2 linked regions of the Rhinolophus ferrumequinum genome follow. The protein of the gene in region 1 purifies or fractionates together with the protein of each later gene. This does not show direct contact. Links are inferred from orthologs where the notes say so. Each region holds a gene or a part of one and is shown on either strand. Other genes may lie near its edges. The genes, in order: GARS1 and GFPT1.

The links.
Region 2: the proteins of GARS1 (region 1) and GFPT1 fractionate together in Homo sapiens (co-fractionation; 3 studies listed by BioGRID, with this or other methods). This does not show direct contact. The link is inferred for Rhinolophus ferrumequinum from reciprocal best matches to the Homo sapiens genes GARS1 and GFPT1.

The regions. Positions count from the first base shown.
Region 1 is NC_046303.1:11,868,177-11,876,383, forward strand, and holds the start of GARS1 (glycine--tRNA ligase), read right to left. Parts: upstream 3,049-8,207; 5' UTR 2,873-3,048; coding exon 2,654-2,872; intron 1-2,653. UniProt on the Homo sapiens protein: Catalyzes the ATP-dependent ligation of glycine to the 3'-end of its cognate tRNA, via the formation of an aminoacyl-adenylate intermediate (Gly-AMP).
Region 2 is NC_046296.1:21,410,001-21,417,567, forward strand, and holds the start of GFPT1 (glutamine--fructose-6-phosphate aminotransferase [isomerizing] 1), read left to right. Parts: upstream 1-4,398; 5' UTR 4,399-4,585; coding exon 4,586-4,592; intron 4,593-7,567.

The sequences.
Region 1 (8,207 bases):
CACGGAAAATTAAAATGATGGATGAAAACAGGTCTGGATTTAATAAAATTAATAATTTTTACTGCTCCGTCAAGGACACTCTACAGCAAAACTTCTTGTTTTCTTTTTTCACTGTTCTGTTGGAGTGCGATGAGGAATCCAGTGACTTAGCTTGGTGTCCCTCACTTGATCAGTGCTAAAGGCAGGCAGTTTTACCCATCAGTGCAAATGTGAACACAGTGCAAAAGGAAAATAGCATCTTATTATAAAAATGGCTTTGACCTTGGGGACTTCTAAGGATTTGCTGACCACAATTTGAGACCAGTGCCCTAGAGCAATAGATCCAAAACAAGACACTGCAGAACAGAAGTTTCATTACTATATGGTTAAAAAAAAAAAAAGTATTAGATCTTTTTTCAAAGCTAAACCTACTCAACATAAATAACTTCTTTATTCTGACTTACGGTCTGCCTTTTTTTCTTATATATTAAAATATCCTTTTTTTAATGAAATGAAACACGAATTCAGGTGGCAGTTTGATGCCTGTACTCATTTTTTAAATGTCCTTATTTGGCAAAATAAAAGCTGGCCACCCTATGCTAATTCCTAATATTTTAAAAACTAAATTGTCCTATAGTGCCCTCATCAAACAACTAATGCAGTTTTCCTGATATTCTGAAGCCCTCCTACAAGTTTCTAACTAATCCTCCAAGAAATACCTAGGAATATGCCATGGGAAAATATGTCAGTCAATCAACAAACCAAACCTTTAAAAGCGACAGCATCTACACAGCCCAGTCAATTACCAAATTAATACAAAACACGTATTTGTCGGAAACACATCCCACCAACAAGACCAGTTGTTAAGCACCTTAAAATTCCCACTCCAAGGATGTCTTCAATTGCATACACTTCACAATGGAAATATGCAAAATGGAGAGATGGGACAGTATGTCTCATTTCCTCATAAGCAAAAACCAAAATGGGTTTACCTAGAAGTCTTTAAATCCCTTCCAGTGTGATTTAAAGTTCATATATGTGTGGTCCTAGAAAATTAGAAAAAGAACGTGAACTAACTTACATAAACTAACTTACATATTCAGAAAATACCTTAAAGTACAGAAAAAATTAACAAACAAGCCAACATAAACAATACAGGAGATAGTCATGGCATGGGGAGGTTGTTCCTCCATCAAAGTTAACTACTTCCCCAGTTCTGACTACAGATGAGTAATTTGCACTCCACTTCCAGACTAACGTGGCAGAGGGAGGGGTTTGGGCATGTGCTTTGGTTTTTTTCTTTTCTTTTTTTTTTCAATTAGATGTAGGACATGAAAGTGAAGGACATGACAAAAAAATTGAGAGTCACAGAAAAGACAAAGGGACCACACCTAATTTTATTTGGGGACCGTGGGTGTAGAGAGACGGACAATAAGCATACACAGAGTCCTGATAATAATGAAAAAAATTAAGCCCATAGTGAAATTGCAAAATAAAACACTACTGACTCAGTCAGGTTCACAATAGCAAGAAGTAGACATTGCAAAGTGGCAGGATTTGCTGGATTTGTAGCAGCTCTACCCAATGAATTATTGCTGAGAGAGGGTTCCACCCTCTGTAGCTAAGGCAAGTTATTGCATCAGGCGCCCGTGCAGGAGAAACTCGTTTCATGTTTACTACGAAGTCATCGATCCCCGGGCTCCTATTCCAAGCTTCTGGCTCTACCTGACTGGATGTGAAAATTCATCTGAAATAATCCTTTCCTCGTCCTCTCTAAATTCAGTTATCCACGCAGTGCCCTAGGAAAAGCGGGCCTGTACAAATCACCAAGTCCTCCAGCCATAAAACGTCCCTCCCTTCCGCAAAATCAAATTTCGAAATGTTCCAAACGAAGGATGGCTGACTTCACCGAGTAACATTTACGGTTTCCCAGGTTTACGATCTGAAACTCACTCATTCCAAGTGGCCCTTTCGGAAACCAGAAAAAAATGACAGGAGCGAAGGATGAAGAACTCACATCATTATTAGAAGGGGAAAAAAGAAAAGTTCAACACACCCCCACATCCACGTTTCAACTCTGTCTTTTCTCAGCCGGTCGTTCGGCAAACTAAGCACTGCCTGAAGGAAGGTGTCAAGGAGGAAACACCACGCGAAGCATCCCGAAGAGCCGGGCTGTGAGAGGAGAGAAGCCGTAGCTTCGGCTCGTGACTGACCAGGGAAGAATTAGGAACCTCGGCACCCAGGGTGCACAAAGATCACAGCGGAGGCTGGAAAAGCGAAGTTGAGGTTACTGAGCTAGGACAGGAGGAGAAGCAAAGGGTCACTGATCGCAACGCCATCGGGGAGAGAGCAGGCGCGGGCAGTAACAAAGATGGGGAAAGGAGGACAGATCGCGAGCGAGCGAGGGATGCAGTTGTCCCAGGGGATCCGAGGGAGTCCCCCAAGATGAGGGAAGGACGGCGGTCCGTGGGAGGGAAGGTGGCCGACGCACCCGAGGACCTGGGTCCAAAGTGGCGGAGGCGAGGAAGATGCCAGGAAACCAAGGGCTTCCAGAGAATGAAGGCGAGGGGTCACGGCCAGGTGGACGGGTGCCCGGGGAGAAAGAGGACAGGATACAGGACGGGAGGGTTGCGGGCAGCGCCCGGGCCAGAGGGAAGGCGCAGAATGCCGGTACCTGCTGGCGCACGGCGAGCCTGAGAGGTGCCAGCACCTCCTCAGCCCCGGCGCCGTCCATGCTGCTCCGGGAGGCGGCGGAGAATAAGGTCGGGGCGGGGGCGCGCGTGCTGAGGGGCCGGCGAGGCAGGAGCGGTGGCCGGGCCGGGAGCCGGGCTGGCAGCGACAGCAGCAGAGCGGCGCTGGCGGCTCTAAGCAGCGCCCGGCGCGGAAAGGGCATGAGCCGGCGGCCCTGGGCGGCGCGGAGACTTCGGCGGCGGAAGCGGCGCGCGCCGCCGGGCCCCGAGCATGATGAAATCGCCGCGTAAACGCCGCGGCGCGCGCGCAGCCGCACATTCCACACGCCGCAACGCGGCACCGGCTCGCCGCCAGCAGATTCGACACAGAACCCCGGAAGAACCCGGGATCCTTCGGCGCTCCGGGAGGGCTAGCCCCACCCGGGACGCCCGGGAGGGCTGCGGGGTCGCAGGTAGCCCCCTGCCAACAGCGTTGCAAAATGATGCCTCCGGCCACCCCGAGGGTGGACGTTCAAGGACACAGCTCCATTCGAGACGTGCAAACTGAAACTCACGCGGACCTTCAATGCATAGGCTTGTACACGGGCGGGCGCTGACACGGCTGACACACTGGGAAACACACTACTGTTTCTGTTCTTTTGCCCCGTAGGCCTGAAAGGGTCTTAAAACATCAAATCTGATGGGGGCTTACATTCAATGTTGCTCAAGCTCAGATGTTTCTCAGATGAGGAAACAGGGCAAGAGGGTTTAATGACTTGCCCATCTTCACACATCCACGCCTTGCCAACGTCAAGACAAAAGCTGGGGAAAGGGAGAGGAGGAGTGACGGACTTTTGGGAGATCAGTGCTGATCAGCCTTTGCAGGGTGAGCAGGATTTGAACCAGCAGGAATGAGGAAAAGAAAGAGGCAAAGGGACGAGAAAAAGCAGGGAAACATGATAAAGCAGGGCAGTGAAGAGGAGCTACCTCAGCGGACCTGCCTATTGGGGATGGCTCCCTTCCTCCCTCCTGTCCCAAGTGTGGGTTAGCTGGACAGCTGGATTCCCTTTGCAGAGAGGGAATAGAAAAATAAAAAATGTGTTGGTTAGTAAAATAGCATCGCCAAGAGAAGGCCTAAAATGAAAATGATGGGAAATGCCAAGGGATGCACGAGGGCTCTCCTGCACTGAGAAGAGGGTCAACGGGAGAAGCGACAATTGGAGACCGGTTGGACAGCCATACACACCTTCCCTGTGACCAACAGTGCCACCCAGGAGTGTACACCAGCAGACAGGCTCACCAGAAGGACGACCTTCCCCAGTAGTAGGAAAGTCCATGTTACTTTTCTGTCTGTTCCAATTTGTAGAATCGCACTTTGTGAAAAGTATTCGCAATTTAGCATCAGCAGGGAGGGTGGCTGAAGAACCTTTTGCAATATGAAACAATTTGTATTTTTAAAACTTTTATTTCGAGATTTGATATTTTATTCATCCTAATTTTTCTTTGGCTTTGCTTCAATCGGTAATTTTTCATTTATCTTAATATTTTTAAATATGAAAACCGATCTTAATTTTTATATCTGCTCTTATTTACATTGTTACTAAAACATATTCAAAGTCTGTATCCTTTGACTCCAGTTATATATTTTTTAATTCTTTAGATCAATACTGTCTCCCATGTTCGTGTGACGACAGTCCTATCACTGGTCTCCCAATCCGTTCTTCCCCCGTCCAGTCCGCCCTCCCCACTGCTGCCTCAGTGATTATTTCTAAAAGGCAGAGCGGTGGCACGTTACAACTCTGCTCAGGATGCTTCACTAGGTCTATGTGGCTCTTAGCAGAATTTCCTGCGTCGTTTTCCTTAGAAAACTACCTCTGCAGACAATAATAATAGCTTATAAATGTTGAGGGCTTACTGTGCACGAGTTAGTATTATAAGTTATGTAATTTATTTACCAATCTAATGAGATAGGTTCCATAATAATACCCATTTTACAGAGTCGGGATTCAAGGCACCAAGCTATCAAACACCTTGTCCACAGTCACGCAACTACCACGTGAGCAGCGGGCCAGAATGTGAGCGGGGGGCAGAGGCAGCTGTACCATGTAGCTAATGAAACCACTGAAGCTGTAAGTGAGCTTCAGGGACCCTCATTTGGGTGGGCTCTTTCAGGACCCACGACAGGCCCTAGCATTGTCATACATGGTCATAGTTTTTTTTTCTTTTCTTATGAAAGTTCTTTTCTTTATTTGAAGAACGAACTTTGTGCCTACATTGAGATGTACAAATCTTAAGTGTGCATTTCAAAGGATTTTGATAAAGGAATACCCTCTTATAACCCATGCCTCAATCAAGATAGAGCATTTCCCTCAATTCACAGAGTTCCTCCTGTCTCTTCCTACAGACACACAGGAGGGCTGCCATGTGAAGACAGTGACACAGCTGTGACCCCAGGAACAGCAAGGGTTGGCGGCCACCACCAAAGTGAGGAAGAGGCAAGAAAGGATTCTGGATTCTATCCAGAGTCCCAGAGGCAGCCTGGTCCTCCTGACACCTTGACTGTGGGCTTCTAGCGTCCTTAACTGTGAGAGGATACATTTCTATTGTTTTAAGCTACTGGTTTGTGGTACTTTGTTACAACAGGCCTAGGAAACTAATATAAAGAGCATGGTTATTTTTTCATCCTCTCAATCTTTATTCTTTCTGATTATAAAAAAAAATACTTGCTCCTTGGAAAATTTCAAATATTACAGCAATATATAACTTGGAAATTGAGAGACAGAGAGGGAAAGAATAAGGAGGGAAGGGGCCTTATAGTTTTTAAATATATAGAATGTATCTGTGTTACTTGCATTGTTTTACAGAGTGAATAACCGCTGCATTTTGAAAATATTTTGAAGTGGTATAATATGGAAAGTCCTTCAAAATCGAGTATCTCCGTGATAAACACTATTTTAGCTGGGTCCACAATTTGTACTATTTCTAAGCAAAGCCAAGTCCATTTCACATACATACATAATTTCCTACATAAGTTAGGGAGGACTCCTTCTCTCTCATCTGCTCTTTCTGTGCTCTATTTCCCTCTGTTGTTCTCTTTCTCCTTTCCAGAAGCTTCCAACAGTTAACCCACTCCTTAACTCCTTTGAGTTCTAGCCAATGGAACATGATTGCACTTGCCGCCACCACTTCCCAGCCTGGCCTATATGAACTCCCATGTGTCACCCTCCATGCTGTTCCCTTTGCTGCTGGCTGGAAATCGATGTCCCTGTGTTAAAGATGGCAGAGCCTGGTTCCTGAGTGACGATGTGGAACAGAGCCCATTGCCACACCCCTTTCCGATAAGCTCTTTGAACTGGTGACATGAGTGAACAGTACATTTCCATTGTGTTTAAGCTATTATACATGCTGATGTTTGTCAGAGCAGCGAGCTTGCCCTAACTACTCCACGAACACAGGGCCGTGTATGAGAAAGGTGGGGGGGATATCTGGGACACGGGAAGAGGGCGAGGGTGACATGAGCAGCTGATCGGCCAAAGTTCTGTTTATACATAACCTTTTCAGGAGTGCGGAGTTAGGCAAGGCGGGGCTCACTCCCACAGGCTGATGGGGAATTATCCAGAGTGAGTGGACTGACTGGTGGGCCCTGGGCCACTTCCCTGGGTGAGCACCTCTCCAGCTTTCTGATGCCTCTACTTGAAGTCAGGTACCCACCCCTTCTCCTTCTCCTGCTGCTTGTCCTTCGAGCTAAGGTGTGTGCAGAGTTCCCAGGAGCTGGTTTTCTTCCAGCCCACACCTCCAGGATTCTAAGGGATGCTTCCCAGACTTGGTGTGGATGGGAAGACGTCACACGCCTCGTCCCAGCTCCTCCTGTAACTCTCTGGCCTCAGTCTCCCCTTCTGAACATGGGGGGGACTACACCTGACCTCTAGCCCCTTCCAACTCTCACTATGGGTTTGTGAATTTGTGACTTAGGGAAGAAAATCTCTAAATGGAAAGAGAACAGGTTTCTATCTGTCCAGCAGAGGGGAGCAGCTCCCCACAAACCAGCTCCCAGGCAGAGAGTGCTGTGCAGGGGTGCTTGCAGGCCTGGCCTTCAGAGGGTTGCTAAGCAGAAAGATGTTTGCACACAGGAGCCATATCCCCTTACAAACTGTCCAATCCCATGTCCCTCAGAACTTCCTGATTAGCACGGTTTCCTGATGGTCACCTTACCTGGACAAGTTCCGGTTGATAAACTCCCCCTTCATCAGGGACCAAGACTGGACATGATACACCTGGTGGATGTTCTAACCAGAATCAAGGGAGCAAGACCATTTCACGACCTTTGATGACGTGACCTGAGACCCTTTGAAGGACTGTGACTGTTGTGACTCCAGGGTGGGGATGAGAGATGATGGGTTCTTCGGCCACCAGGAACCCTTCCACGGGTACAGGGGTGTGGTGTGAGGATGATAAACCGCCTGCTGGAAGAAGGGATAGTATCCATTCAGGGACTCAAGCCAGAATTTTTCATTCTGAACTTGACATCTTTCTCTCCTTTACCCACTAAATACAGTTCTTGCCTATTTTATTTATCTCCAAGCCTCTCTCAACTCTGTTTCCCCTCTCCCCCACCTCCTTCATTTCTTACCTGGATCCCTGCAATCCTAGCTCCTTGCTATACTTACAGTGAGCGTCCCAATTTGGAAATGTGATCATGTGACACACACACGCACACAGAGCCTACCCATGACTTCCATACCCCTCGAGATAAAGTCTGCTCTCCCCATAGCCTACCTCTCGGTCTCCCTCTGGCCAGTCTCCCACACTCTGTGATCCAGCCTTACTGACCTACAGGGCGTGTGGCCTTTGGCCTTTGGCCTCTGCACAGACTCATGCCTCTATCTGGAACCTACTTTCATCTCTATCATCCCTCTCCCACATCACCCCCAAACCTCCTCAGTCCCTTCCACCTGGCTTATGCCTTATATAGGGCAGGGTTCTTGGATACAAACAAGAGCCCATTCGGGCTAGTTCAAGTGACAGGACATCTGTTGGAGGGACAGCTGGGAGACTCCAGAGTGAATGGAAGCTTGGGGGCCAGGCTGAAGAATGCTCAGACCTGAGACAGCTCTGAATGGCCAAGAAGCAGAGAGCGGTGTATTAATTAGGAATTGCATTTGGCTACAAGTAACAGCGACATGAAAAACAGAGGCATAACAACACAGGGCTCTACTTTTCTCTCATCCAAAAAGAAGTGCAAAGGCGAGAAATCCAGGGCAGGTGCAAGGCATAAGGATATAGGGGCTGAGTTCTCTGAGCTTCTCTTGGCTTTTCCCTCAGGGCTAGTTCAAGATGGCTGATGAACTGCCAACCACTAGGCTCACTTCTCAGGCAGGAAGGATAAAGAAAGGAAACTGCCCCCCTCCTCAGAAGCCCTCCCAGAAGCCCCCTCAACAATGTCTGTTGACATCTCATCGACTAGAACTGGGTCATGGTGTGATGATCAATCTCATGTGTCACCTTGACTAGGCCACAGTACTCAGGTATTTGTTCAAACACAACTGGACGTTGCTGTGA
Region 2 (7,567 bases), on another chromosome or scaffold:
TCAAGGGGCAGATAGACAACGTGTTCTACCATATGCCTCTGCCATGGCCCAGACTCCTATGCTAACTAAGAGGCCTGCCTACCTACAGCAGAGGAGTACTCTGTCAGAGTCCTGTCTTCAGAGATGCAGCAATTACTAGACCCTGTTGAATATATAGACCCTCCAAATGCTCCTGCTCCTATCCCTGTGTCATTCCCTGCAACCTGCAAGAAGAAATGGGAAGTTCTTTCTAGAGCTTGGTATACTGAGGGTGCTAGGTGGGGCAATCGCCCACCTGTATGGCAGTTGTAATCCAATCATCCCCTGATACCATCTGCATGGGAACAGGAACAAATCACAGTGGTCAGTGGGTTTATAATCACATATAAACCGTGGCTACTGTCCTGTTTACTGACAGTTGGGCCATTTTAAAGGGATTGACTATGGCTTCGACAATGAACATGAAGAGTTGACTGATTATGAACAAATCTTTATGGGAACAAGAGATGCGGAAGGATATTTGGGTTCGCTTACAAAAGCCTGAGACCAATCTTGTTGTTTTCCATGTCTCTGCCCATAAGGCATCTACAGCTCCAGGTAACCAGGGAGAAGGTGCCCTGGCAAAAATAGGTGCTTTAGCAACTGACCCATCCGTTGGCACTACAGAATGGGTACACCAGAAGAGTGGGCACCATAGTGTCCAAGTCGGATGGTGCACAGCTAAGGAGGCAGAGCTGGCTTTAAAATATAGTGACCTGGTAAATGTAGTTATTGAGTGGAGTTTTCATGTCCCACATAAGCCCACAGGCAGCTGGGTTGGTGGAATTGGAAAAATGCTGTCCTTAAACAATAGACAAGGTATTGATTGGAAAACCTACTTTGACTAGGTGGACGAAGGTGCTTTCCCAGTGTTAATACATTTAAATGACCAACCCACGAGGCCTATTGCTCCCTATGCCAGGCTGGGAACTCAGGCTGAGGCACCCAGTATGGTAAAGGTATGGAGAACAAAGGACAGCAATAGTCCCAACGCTTACCATGAACCAACCTATGATAATGAGGGCACCAATCCCTATTGTCCTTGGAACAGGGACCATTTACTGGAATCTGCAATGGGATTTTCATGTGGGATGGGTCCGTTAGTTCATGGCCCTGGGTGGGGAAGAACTGCTCAGTCCCGGGGGGACCTTGTCAGCCTAATGCAGTCAGGACCCATGGAGACATGCTATATACTCATATATGTGGACCGGTACATGCACCATTGGAAGAGGGGATGGTAGCGGTCCTAGTCTGATACACTCCCCTTCCTATTCACCTCCTGAGGCCACACAGCACCACTTCCTCCTGGCCAACAAATACGGTTTACACAGCCTGGCCGGGTTCCACAGACTACGGCCACATTACCATCTAAGGATCAGGCTGCAAATGTAATTCTCACCGAAGGAGACGATCTCCCAATTTAAGTCCCTACCAAATATTTATCTTTCTGATCTTAGACTTCTGTTGTTCCTGTGCATCCAGTTCCAGGAGTGGGGAAGGGAACCTGTGTCATCATCCAAACTAAATGTGTTTTTCTACTAGATGAATCTGTTAATATTTCTTCTTTGTTAGCACATATGAAAACTCAAGTAAATGTGTTAAACGATCTGGCCTCAAGCCTAGGTGACCCAGTAACCCACTGGTTTGGGCCCTGGGGGGTGGCGGGTGGGGGTGGGAGGCAGGTTGGAAATAATTGTTACTCATACCTTGACTGCTTCTTTTAATTTCTTTTTGTATGTGCTGCCAACTGTATCTCCAATGCAGTCAATGGGCGAGTAAGCAAGCTACTTCCCTGCTACTGAAGTTCCTCACTGACCACTCAGGGCTCTTTCTGGAATGGGGGGAGAGGCGTATGAGATTATAAGAGCTGGTCATGAGGGATGGAGTGTGGAGGAGAGACTGTTGTGCGATGTGCCACTGTACCGCAAGCTGGATCCAGGCCAGGACTGAGTTGCTTTCCTCAAATCCCCCTTACAGACTGTCTGATTGTAATTGATGTTCATTCTGACATAAATCAGCACCCCTTCCTTGCCTCCTGCTATGTGCTGGTTTCTGGAACAGGTTGTTGTCCTGAACTGGTCAAGCATGTAATTTCCAGTACCTGGTCGCATTCACGTACTATATTTCGCCTTTTTACCCTGTATAATTCTCTGGCACCTGCCAAGCGGTGTGGGGATCCATTTTGTCTTGCAGCCACCCAAGACATGCCTTGTATGTAAATTTCCCGTAATAAATTCTATTAATTGCCAGACTGGAGTGGCCAGCCTCTTGCTTCAGTTTTTCCCAGCCCTCTGCTTATGGAAGTAGATTTTCAGTCTTGAGACTTCTCCCTTGGTCTGTGTCTACTAATTGTTGGGGATTATGAGCCTTCAAAGTTTCTTCCTCTCAACTGGTACATAAGCACCTTCCAAAAATAGCTGTAGAATGGAGATGGACACGACAAACTGACAGTCATGATGGAGTAACAAACAGAAGAGGAAAGCCAGGAGGACAATAGATTATTATAGTTTGAGCATGATAACTTTGGTAGTACTGCGGGCATTCTCTTTGTAGCATTGACAGGTAGTTTCTGGCAGTGCACAAAGGTATTGCTCAAATATTGGACTCATACTTTGACTCTTTGGCAATGTCACTGAGGTTTTACCAGAAACTCTTAGATGAGGGTTTTGAGGTTAAGATGTATATCCACAGAGACTTTGCCTCTTGAATTAAGAAACATGTTGTCTACTATCTAACAGCTCACTGTTGTTTGTTTTTGTTTTTAAACTTTGCTCTGAGTGATTTAAGAACATGTTTAAAGTCCTGAAATACTAAAAGACTTAAATTTTTGAAATACTTTTATTAGTTAAATGTGACATTTCTTGGCCTCTTTTTGAGGCCAGTGGTAAAAAGGCATTTTTTTCCCTCTAAGAAAAAACTGAAAAGTCCTTTGCTCATTTGATCATATAACTAGCCATAGAAAGTCAATTCTGCTAAGAACATTTGACTTTTCTCCACTCACTCAAAAGCATTTTTGATCCCTTATTTTATGCTAGGGTTTATACTAGGTGTTGGGTATGCTAAGACTTGTTCTAGCCTCAAGAAACTTAGCCTAATAGGGAAATGTACAAAAAATAAAATATCAAAGCATATTACTTTAAAGGGGGAAGCGCAAAGAATGAGCAGTTAATGCATGTGTTTAAGTCTGTCTGGGGGAGATAAAAAAAAAAAAAAGGTTTTCCCTAGGAGGTAGCATTTAAGTAGAGATGGGTAGGGATTTCATGAAGTGTACCCAATGTGTGCAAAAGACTTGAGAATGTTTGCCCAATTCTCAAACTATCTGTTGAGTGTTGTTGGAGTGTAAAGGGATGGAATTTGGGGTAGGAAGAGAGCAGTAGTGTGAGCTAAGATGACACATCTGGGGTCAGAAGTCCATGCCATGTTCTGTGTGCCATACAAGTTTTTACTTGATTCTATCCTAGAATCATTAATAGAGCTACAGTAACCACCTATATTTGACAAAAGAAACCATTTAAATCTTCCTAAAGCAAATGCTCAGGTAATAAATTCTCAGAAACATCATCTCTCTTTGATTAAGTTTCTTTTGGCAGGAATGGTACATTAATAGAATTGATTAATCGTTCATGAGTCAAACGTCAGGCTGTCAAATCTAGGCAATTCCTAGTCCTCTCAGGTGGGGGAGCAGAAGTCTCCCCTCCTGCCCCTCTGCAAAAAACAAAACTGGGGGTTAGGGAGGCAATGGATGGGGGGGGCGGATCGGGTGCCCGAGGGATTCTAGAAGCCAACTATATTACAATAGAGCCTAAGTCCAGAACTGAATTGCCTATCACCAGAAAGACTAACCGAAACTGCATGGAGTTTTGCAATCAAGAATTTTGGTATCTCTCATCTCAATTCTTTGCATTTTTTCCTTCGGCCTATGTCCCTTTCCCACTCTGATTTGTTGTGCCTCAGGATCCTCTTATCAGGCCTCCTGCTTTCTTCCTCCTCTTTCCCCGCTTCGTGGGGTGCCGGACCTTGGGGCCTTGGACTGCACTAGGCGCGCGCTCCAACGCTATTTGCTTTGCTAACAATTCCATTCTACTCTTTCCTTATCTTTCCGACATCCCCTGCCAGCCACCTAGTTTATTCCTCTCCCGCTGCGCTATCCCTCCCGTTGCTCGCCCAAGGGCTGGGCGGCTCCAGGAACCCCAAGCGGATGCGGCCACGAGCCGCTGCCACGTCTTCGCAGCCAGCAGGCCAGCGCCTGCGTGGGCTCCGGGGAAGGGCGGGGCGGGGCGGTGCGGGGAGGCGGGATCTGCGCGTGAGCAGCGCGGACGTGACCCAATGAGATCTGCGGACGGCGGCGGCGGCGGCGCGGTGCGCGCTGAGGGGCGGAGCCAGGAGGCAGTTGCTGGCGAGCCCGGGAGGCCCAGGAGGCAGTCGTTACCCAGGCTGTCGCATCCCGGAGGGAATCTCGTCGGTGCCCCACTGGCCTCCAACCCCGCCGATCGCCCCACAGGCTCGTGTGCGCTCCCGATCTTGCCAGCCGTTCGCCACTCGCCTTGCGGACTGTGCCTCCTGCATCATGTGCGGTAAGGGGCCGCGGGCGGGGGGCGTGTTGCGGGGTGGTGCTGGGGTGCGGTGCGGGCGCCGCTGAGGCCTGAGGCACGGGAGGGAGCGGGAGTGTGGAGGGTGCGAAGTCTGGATGGTGGGCGGGGAGCGTCCCGGGGTGGCTGCTGGTACTGGGGGTGGGGGCCGGTCACTAAGAGCTGGAGGTGGGTGGTGGATTTAGGAAGGCACCTGAGAGGAGGGCGGGCCCTATAGAGGACCTGGGGGGCCGCAAGGGGCGGTTTTGCGCGAAGAAGGGAACCAAGAAAAGAAGGGAACCCCTTTTCCTTGTATCGGGAAAGGGGATTGTTTGTATTGGTTGAGGGAATTGAGGTGCGGAGGGAGGTGTCTTCACAAGAGTCTACCAGGTGAGGCAACCTGTGGAACATCAGGTGAGGACTCTTGGACTTATCTTGTATTCTTCTAGTATTTACCTTTTTAAAAATATTTATTTTTAGTTGCTTTCTTTCGGTCAGGCCCAATAGAAAACAGAATTATAACTAGAGCTAAGACAATGGCATTACACATGATCTTATTTCTTCCACCCTGTCTCAACAGAAACCATTGCCAATCAATAACTTGGTGAATGGGCTTTACTGATCCTCTGTGGAAGCCGCCCAGAAGTGACCGTGGCGATAGATCATACATCATTGATCACTTGCATGTGCACCCACTTAAAAAGACTTACCTAGGGAAAATATTGGTCTACATTTAATGACTGTTTTACCTAGAACATTTAAAACATAAAGTTTAGCCTCTTGTTTTGAGACTTAGTTGTTTCAATATTACCTAAAAGTGTTAGCTAAAAGGGATTGTCAGAAATATATTTGGAATGACTGATATGCACTAAAATTGGTATTAACTTGGCCATTGTCAGTATAAAGAATTCTATTCTTACCTTAATGAAATTTACAACTGACCTTACTCCTGGAAGAATAAAAAACACTTTTTAAAGGGAAATAATGACTTTAATAGAATTTAAACTATCTGGGAAACTTATTCTTTGTAGCCTTTTGCAAAAGAACTGAGCTGGAGGTGGCTTGTTCTCATTAGTGTATATTTTTCCTGTATTTAACATTATGCTAATTTCAGCTTCTGAAAAGGAGGAGCAGGTTTAAATTTAGAGTAGATTAAAAAGCAGAAACAGAAACACCTATGAACAGCTTGCTGAAATTATTAGTGTTGCTCACTTTAGAATCAGATATACTGTATTTTTGCTATGTCCAGTTAGTAGAGTGGTTTTACAAAACACATAATATGATTTGGAGCTGTGAAGTAGTGAATTTGCAAACTGTTTAATCCTCAGTTTGCTCCATTTGGTAATTAATTGTTCCTGAATCATGAGGTGTGTGCCTGATTAAGCACCTAGCTTTCAGGTTACAGGTCATTTCTTCATCTTGTTCCAGGAAAAAGGAAGTCAAAGTATTATAAAAGAAAATATCTGATCTGGTTTGGAAAAGGTGCAGAGTAGAGTGGGGCTTGCAGGATGGAGACTAGATGTTGAGAATTTTCACTTAGCCAACATCCCTATGCCACAGAGTTTTATTGCTGAGAAAACAGACAGGTTATAAATAATAAAGAAAGAACTAGTATTTGAGGCATTTCTGAGGTCCTGCTTTTAACTCAGACCGGAGTTTTTCATGATTCCAGGAATATGATCCTGAACTAATTTATATCCTGAACTAATGTAAATTCTGAAGGTTAATTGTGAAGACAAGAGTTTGCCTTTGTTTTCCTCCCACATCTTTAATCATTAAAATTTCTAGGCAGAGAAATTGAGTGGGGAATGAGATTCGATAGGAGAATTTAGAGATTTAACTTCTGGTTACCTGCTGCCTATTCAGGTTTTTCTAAAAGATTTTTTGTTTCAACATTGCAAAATGTTGAAGCAGAATAATGAGGGCTAGCCGGTTCTGAGATCTGCCTTTCTTCAATCTGATACACTGATTAAACTGTTACAATGTTTACCAGGTTGAATTGGGATGTTAATAAGTGTTAATCAGACAAAAAAAGATTCTATGGTCAGGTAAATTTGGGAGCAACAGATTACACAATGTTGAATTGGTTTCTTTAATTGGAGGACTTCATAGAACATTTAATGTGCTAATAAGTGTTGTGAACCTCCCAGAGTCTAATAGTGTGTCCGCTTTCCAAATTTATTTTATCTTCCTCTTATTCTTGATCCTTTGAAATTACACTAGTTCTTTTTTAATTGTTTTACCTTTGCCTTTGGTGAGAGAGTGTCAAGCTGCTTCAGGTACCCACATTTTTTTTTTTTTAACAGATTTTGCTTTTTTTTTTTTTAATAAATGTTAGTGTATATAAATAGAGTTTTTGTAAATGGGATTATATTTAAAAGCAGTGAGGGAGCTGCAATTTAAAAGTATCCTGAAATGAATTCTTAAAAAGTTTTTTGTAACTATACTGTCTAATGGCTTTGGGAGTAATTGAGGGATGCTGAGACTTGCTGCTAGGATAAGTCATAAAATGGTACTATTAACATATCTTTAGAGATCATGCTGGATATAAAGTAGTTGTAAAAGAAAATAATTAATTGCTTAATAAGCATTTCCTCAACTGTGTTCCCCGCAAAGGGAGAAGTTAATAGGTGCTGATAATGAACAGTAGAAGGTGGGAAAGAGTTTTATTAACACAAAAGTTTGGGAAATTCTGCTTTTGGAGATTTGCAATTAGCAAGGTTAAAGATTCTAGGAAGACCTACAAATAAACCTTTTAACTTTGTTTAACCCAGTATTTCTTACGTCTTTTATTATGGAACCTCATCCCTACTTTGCATTCTGCAACTAGTGTTCTCTTTCTGTGGTTTGGGAATTTTTGACTTCACATTTCAGGTCCCTAAAAAGTGTTAGAAGATATTTGAGGTGATGCTTTTGTACTTGGCACTCTGCCCGCTGGAGAGATGATTAAAGCAAAGGCATTGCCTTTAAGGAATTGTCTG